Linked DNA regions of Struthio camelus. The protein of the gene in region 2 interacts with the protein of the main gene of each other region in a biochemical or structural test. Links are inferred from orthologs where the notes say so. Each region holds a gene or a part of one and is shown on either strand. Other genes may lie near its edges.

Region 1 (3,743 bases), on a different chromosome or scaffold from region 2:
AAAAGCCAGTCCTAAAATCACCACTAGATGGTCGTTTTCTCATAGTTACTTCAAAGAAAGCAAGTGACAGATGAATACAGACAGAAATGGGAATAAAGAGCGCTACACTCCGAAAGAAAGATGTTGGTGTTTGTTTATAAGCACGGGTGCTAGGTACTGAGCGAAAGAACTAAAGCTAGAATCATATCTGTCTCTTTTCTGTAAGTAGCATTGTTCAACGCTGGAATTAAATTTTGCTAAGTTTATGGCATTCAAAAGTGTCTCACGACTTTGGAATGCAAGCAGCAAAACAGGTAAAATAGCGATGCCGTTCGGTCCCGGCGCAGCTGGGGCAAGGACGGAGCTCCAAGCCAGACGGGGGGTTGTGAGGGGGAGTCCTGGCATGGATTTGTTCCTAATTCTGACATTTCGGAACGTACAGTGCCGGTTAGACTTAAAACCTTCTTCTTAGATGCACCTCACTTCTGTCAGAACTACAGGGACAGCAGAAGACAGAGCCGAGCCCATGGATTTCAAAGTCCGGTATCGAAATATTGCTTTTTGTTACCTAATTGAGCAGCTGGCCATTCACTAGACCCTTCCTTATTGCAACTACAACATTTTAATCTAGGCTTCTGGTATACTGGTGGCACAGAAGGGGTAATATTAGTTCCGAGTTAAACACAACAGTAACATTCATAAATCAACAGACTGTCACTGAGGATGCAAAATTATTGAGAAGGAGAACAGATGAGGTTTGATTTTTCTCTGGAGAAGTCAAGGTGAACAGAGGTAGACAACACTTTCTGAGACCAAACTAAATAAGACACGGGAGCATCATGTCCTTCCCCCAATTACAAAGATTCTTCTTGTTCACTCCATAATCATAATTTGAATGAGCATTCTGCAAAGCCTTCCAAACCAGCTTAAAAAAAACCCAACAACCAACAACAAAACCCACAAATCATAATTCTGGTTTAATCGATCACTTCCAGGGCTGGAACTTAGCCCTCCAGGCTGCTGGCTTATACCTATAACTGTGCTTCTGGGCGACTGCAGTTACATTAATCTTCCTGGAGATTACATCTCCCAGTAACATCCCTAAATGGCTCTAAAAGAAAATTTCAAGCCAGTCTCCCTCTGCCTTTTCATTTTCGAAGGGTAGCCCTGTTGGGTAATTTCACTACCAGAAGCAGCTAAAAACGACAGCTTTGTACCCAAAGAGCTTGCAAACACCAAAAGCATCTGTTCCATCCCAACGTAGTGACTGGGAAGGCTTCGGAACTGGGTCAGGATTTTTTTTGTCGTCTTCCTCACTACCTTCCCCTGACAGCTTCTGCCATCAGGAGTGATTCATATGCTGATTGTACAGAAATGCACCATAAGGAGATGTAAACAAATACAGCAAAGCAAGGCGGGGAGCCAGAGAGATGGAATCTAATAAGTAAATAGATTTAAAAAAAATTTTTTTTCGCTTCTCTGACTCTCACCCTCGCCAGGCAGAGCCACAACTTCCCCCGCCGGAGCCGGGGAGAGCACAGCGCGTCCCCCGGCGGCAGCCGCCCGAGGGCGGCCGGGCCGGCGGCGGCGGCGGCGGCGACGGGGACGGGGACGAGCCCGAGCTCGGCGGCGCCGCCGCCCCGCGCCCTCCGGCCGCGCCGCTGGCCCGGGGGAGGCGCGCCGGGGCGCAGCGCGCTCGCCGCCGCCGGCTCTTACCTGCCCGAAGACGGAGCTGAGCATGGGGCGCAGCTGGTGCAGGAGCGGGTCCGCGTCCGGCGAGCGGTCGCTGCTGCCCGACTTGGCGGAGCACTTGCTGCTGGGTTTGCACAGAGGCGAAGCGCCCTCCGGCAGCTTCAGGGACTCCCTGCTGGACCGCTGCCCGGCGCTGAAGGAAAAGTCCTCCTCCGCCTCCTCCCCATCGCCGTCCGCCAGCGGCGGCTGCTCCGGGGGGCGGCCGGGGCCGGCGTGCGGCGGGAGGCGGCGGCGGTGCCGGGATGTCCGCGCCGGCTGCCTGCCGCCGCCTCGCCTCGGCCCTCCTTCCGCCGGCTCCGGCGGGCTCTGCCCCCGGCCATGTGACAGCCGCCCCGCGTCCTCCGGGGCGCCCGGGCGGCACAGCGGCCTGCGGGCGCTGGGCTCCCCGGGGAGCGGCTCCCGGCCCGGCTCCCTCCCCGCCGGCCCGCCCCGGCCCCGGCCCCGGCCCCGGTCCCGGTCCCGGTCCCGGGGCTGGCCGCCCGCCGCCCTCCTGCCGCCCGCCGCCTTCAGCAGCGAAGTGCGGGACTCGCTCTTCGCCATGGAGGAGCCGCTCATCGCCGGGCCGCTAGAGCCGCATCCCCGGCCGGGCGGAGCGCCGCCGCCGCCGCTGCGGGCCGGGCTGCGGCGCGCCGCTCACGGCATGTCCTGCGGAGACCCGCTTAAATCCCGCACCGCGGCCCATGTGACGGCGCAGACAAAGGCCGCGCACGGGGCGCTCCGCGGGGGCTGCCGGGCTCCGGCCCCGCCGGGCTCCCCCCGCGCCGCCGCCGCCGCCGCCGCCGCCGCTCCAGGTGAGCCGCCGCCTCCCCCCGCCGGGGGCGGCGCGGGCGGGGAGGGTCCCCGGGGCGGCACGGCGCTGCCCTGCGGCTCAGCAACACCCCCCCCCCACACCCCCCGAAGAGGCGCTGCCCTCGGTTTACCGGGCGGGGAGACCCGGCCCTGAGGCCCGCTCCTCCCCCCCGTCTTGTCCGCCGGGGAGGTGCTCAGCGCCCCCGGTGCCCTGCGACTCACCCCAGGGCAGAGCCGAGGAGGCAGGGGGCTGCGGGGTGAGCCGGGCGCCCGCTCCGGGAGCGGGACCAGCACGCCGGCACGCCGCCGCGCGCCCTGGCCCACCTGGGCGCCCTGCCTGCTGTGCTCAGCCTACCCAAGTGAGACCACGGACGGATACTGGCACGATGGGTCAGCACCCAAAGGCCTTACCATTGTGAGAGGGCTCAAAGCCTTGATCCAAAGCCCCGATTTCCCGAAATGCAGGAGCAGAGGGTCAGTGGGCAGCCTCCACCTGTCCGAGGCAGCACACAGGGGACCTTTTGGTCCAGCCTGTGAAGCAGACATAGAGGTTCCACTAGGGCCCAACATAAAATGATACAAACATAAAGGAGTTTGCATCTAAAAAGCAGATTACTTAACTTCTTTGTACTCAAACACGGCTATTTATTTTAAGGGGCGATAGGTAGGCTATAAAGTTCAATAATCATGCTCTGCTTAAAAACAGCCGCAGGTACTGGTGTCAAATCGGACATGTTCCCAACGAGGAAAGCCTCCGGCTCAGGCAGCGCCTGTGCCTCGCTGCCACACTTGGATACCTCAGCAGTTTACGTCCCCAGAAAGAGGAAGGTGTGATTATAGCATAATAAGCTTACTCATGCTAGCTCTGCTCTTGCCGGCACATGCACAGCAGTTACTGTGTGATGACACAGTCTTCAGTGCAACAACCAAAGTGCAACTTCTCTCTGCAGCCCGGGTCTCGCTCTAGCCCGTGCTGCTGAGCCTTCGCCACCGCAGCTGCGCACGCTGGCGGGATCAGAGCCACCGCAGCGAGCGGGTTGTGCTGCAGCCCCGGCCTCAGCGTGCGCTCCGTCCCCTCCGCTGCGGGCTCAGCACACGCAGCGGCCGAGCAGAGCTTCCCCACAGCATGCCCCACATCCGTCCGCAGGACAGCAAAGAGGGGCGCTTGGTCCCTCTGCCCCCTTCCTGCTTTGGGCGCTTGGCAGGAGCTGTCACCGTGGCTA
Region 2 (3,743 bases):
ATCAACTGAGAACCCACAGAGGCAGATAAGTCCAAGTGTTCGAAGCAAACGGGATTGGGTCCTTAATGTTTCTGGTTTAGGCCTAGTAAGCTGACATTTCTTGAATGCGTTCACTGACTCCCCAGATTTTGGTGAGAGTCAGGTGCTTAAAACACTTTGCTAAAACCAAACTTTATAACAAGATTACCTGATCAAAAATTTGGCTTTACAGGCTTGGTCCAAAGTTGCTCTTAACTAAGAGATTTTTTTTCTAACGATTTCAATGCTTTGGATAGGACTCTAGCATGAGGTATCTATTTTTACAGGTGCAGCTAACTTTTTAAAAACTGAAACGAAAAATTGTTTCCCATCCTTATTTTAAAAGATAGGAGGTTTCCTCCCTAAGGGCTATGACAAAAGAATCATAAGCATTCCATCAAAACAGCCCAAGAGGAAGTGCTCCATGCAAAAGATCATCCAGCAAATAATCACTCTTCTGGGGCTGCAGAAGGAAACACTGTCCTTTTCAAAGCTTCTGATTTAGCAAATCTAGAAGGGGCTCTTGGCATACATGCACACAACATGGAAAGACAAATACAGCACAGTTTGGGTGACAGAGCAAAAAGGCAGTTGGCTCCTGACAACCATGGTAAGGGCCATACAGCAAGCAGAATAGCCCAGAAAAGTTCATTAACTCCTTAGTTGAACACTAGGTCAACAGTAGAGCGAAATTCAGAAACTTCTCAGACACCAACACTGTTTACAGCGCACGGAAGATGACAACGGCACAGGGAATCACAGGCACGCTGTCTCGAACATTAGATTTTTTTCCTTTCTCACCCTCGCATGCTTTCAGTCGGAAGTAGCTAAGAATTGTGTGAAGTATTGACAGGGTTATGTACTGCTAATTTCACGCACATGTACGTACACTTTGGAGATTACATTTAAAAAAATATAAACTTGGTATGTTTATCTACCACTTGATCTTGTTTTCCACTTACTGCTACCTTTCATGTCCAGGAGCCTGCTATCTGCAGACAAACTGTCATTTGATGAACGGGTAGATTAAAGAGGAGAAACGTACTTTCACAGAGAAAGTATTTTTCTTCCTAATGCTTAGAATGTAGCAGATTCTCCAACAGTTTGCAGTCTAAATAGACAAGACGGAGAACGTGAAAGAGGGGAAGGAGGAAGCAGCACAGTGCTATGACTTACTCAAGGTCATGCAGGAGGTTAGACTCAGAGCCTGGATTAGGATCCACGTCTCCTGAATCCTCATCCACCACTCCATACTGCCTCTCCTCTCTCAGGAGGGAGTTCAGCCCTATTGCACTTCCAATCAAGCATATTCTTCTCTTTCATTGAAAGAGGTTAGAGGAGGCAAGTAAATTCATACAGCGAGATGGTGGCTAAGTTAATTATGTTCTATTCCTACTGCATGCCACGTCACAGATAAACTCATTTTTTATAGTTACCCTACAAATGATGAAGTTATTCAGAAGTGACTAGTAGGTGCAATAAAAGTCAGCTTAAAAAAAAAAAAGAGGAGAGAGAAAAGACATAAAGCAACTCATTTTGTTAACTTAAACCTGAATGAATACTTAATACAAATAAGCAAACATCCGTGACATCCTTTTCTCCTCAGAAAGGATGCACACATTTCTTGATTTGTCCAATGCAACCAGATAGGAAAATAGTCACGCCAAACTTACAGAAAGTTAAAGTTGAAAAGAAAACACCCATAATTGCGCTAAGCAGAAGTTACACTTTGACAGACATATCTTATACAGCAGCCATTACATTGATATAATAAACGCAACTAACAGATCCTCATTGATAGATATTTGAAGAAAGCCAAAAAAACTACTGGGGGCACGCTGTCAGGAAGAAAAAAAAAATTTTTTTTTTAAAGTTTCAGACCAAGTACGACCTGATAGCAAATTTTCAATTCTATTAAAACTAAGAAGCACTTCAGTAAGTATCAACTTCTGAAAGTTGATACTTATTGGCTCTCACCCTGAGGGGAGAAAGCAGCTTAGACGCCAGCCTCTGGACGAGGCCCCTACAAGCACACTGTTTTCCAGAATATTTCTGTTAGAAGGAGAGTGTAGGAACATGCCAAAAGAACCCGGGCCGCCAATGTCATGGGGAATGAGAGCAAGCTTGGTTTATAATATCTACTGGAGTTTGGCCAAAGAAGAAAAGTGGCCAGGGAAGAAGAACGTACAGAACAGTCCCAATTTCATTTTGCATGGCCATATATCTACTGAGGCTTCAGCACAGAATGCTCTATCTCCTACAGCCTCTTTTGTCAGGTATGAGCCCCCCTGCTACCTCACAAGATGCAAGCTCTTCAGCAAATGCAATACTCCCTAAATTTACCAAAGCATTTTCCTTTTGTCTGTCAGTCTCATTAGCCCTCTGTTCATCTCCCTCTGACTACCTGCCCAATACTTGCATCCTTCCCATGCCCTATACTCCCCAGTTCTTCCTTTGCCAATACTTCACCTTGGTGGGGGTTCTCTGGCCTCCATGGCAGTGTTTGAGCCTTGTGCTGAGACTGGACTCGGCTGAATGGCTCCTGGTAGCTTCAGGTCCCTGCCAGTAATGAAATTAATGCTTTTCCCCTACTAGCAGGTCTCTTCTGTTGAAGGCTTGCAAGTCCTCTCTCGTCCTCCAGCTACAGCAACCCTTACGAGGGTTAGCTCACTGGTCTTCCTTCCTAGATACCTCAGCAGGCATCTAGGTCTGCAGTGAAAAACCTAAATGCCTGTGAGAGGCAGCCAAAGAGGAGGAGCCACTACCACCACGTGATTAGCACGTGTGGAGAACCACTGGTGGCCAGGGGACCTACTTTGAGCCCTACTGATCTAAAAAAAGCCCAATCAAGTTGGGCTCCTTTACAGATGAAGCCTCCAGGTTCCAGACTGACTTGTACATGTTGGTCCCCCAACAGTAATTTTCTAGAATGCAAACATGAGTCATTCTTCTGAAGCAAAGGTTCAAAATACTGCACCAGCTTAGCTCACAAAGAACATCAGCAACTGAATCTGCTTAACCCTTACATACGGAGGAGTGACCAAGGACTGTTGAGTTATTTTAACCATAAGATGAGTTAAGTTTTCAATTAACCCTTTAGACCAAGGATCATTAGCCAAACCTGAAAGGGTTAGGTATCTGTCTTTGTGTCCATGAATCTCCTGTTGGAATGGGATAGAAAGGACATATCTGGACATCACACTCACGCAATCAGTGCTTTTTTCCTCAGAACTTCTTGGTAGATTTCTGAAGAAGAAGATAGGATGTGCCAGGGTAGAGAAGAATTTTTATTTTGTTATTTTATTTTATTACAAAACCTTCATCCTAAATTGCTACTAAAGAATTCCTGGAACAAACAAACAAATAAATAAAAATCAACCAACCAACCAGAAAAAGCTAGTCTTCTGGCAGTGGCCGTTTTTTGACCTACTTTGGTCAGACACACTTCTTATCCACATATGCACAGAGATTACCGTCTTCTAACTCCAGACATCTTGCACAAGACAGGGATGATGAGAGAGAGAACTGCTTATGTATACATTATTACATCTGGATTCAATATTCAGACTTCTTTCCCTGTAACTTAGTAGCAGATTACTCCAAAAGAAGAATTATCATCTAATGTCCTAATCCAGAAAGTTGCTTCATTCGGCCCTCAGTCTGCTCAGAGCTATTTACTATTCTTTGCTACTCTGTTCAGTAGAATGATCAATGAGGTATAAACA

The links. The genes of interacting proteins can lie anywhere in the genome.
Region 1: the proteins of ITPR1 (region 2) and CABP1 form a complex in vitro, tested with the Homo sapiens proteins (2 studies listed by BioGRID). The link is inferred for Struthio camelus from reciprocal best matches to the Homo sapiens genes ITPR1 and CABP1.

What each region holds. Positions count from the first base shown.
Region 1 is NC_090958.1:8,013,908-8,017,650, reverse strand, and holds the start of CABP1 (calcium-binding protein 1), read right to left. Parts: upstream 2,287-3,743; coding exon 1,696-2,286; intron 1-1,695. UniProt on the Homo sapiens protein: Modulates calcium-dependent activity of inositol 1,4,5-triphosphate receptors (ITPRs). Inhibits agonist-induced intracellular calcium signaling.
Region 2 is NC_090955.1:2,743,248-2,746,990, forward strand, and holds the start of ITPR1 (inositol 1,4,5-trisphosphate-gated calcium channel ITPR1), read right to left. Parts: upstream 2,708-3,743; 5' UTR 2,514-2,707; coding exon 2,488-2,513; intron 1-2,487. UniProt on the Homo sapiens protein: Inositol 1,4,5-trisphosphate-gated calcium channel that, upon inositol 1,4,5-trisphosphate binding, mediates calcium release from the endoplasmic reticulum (ER).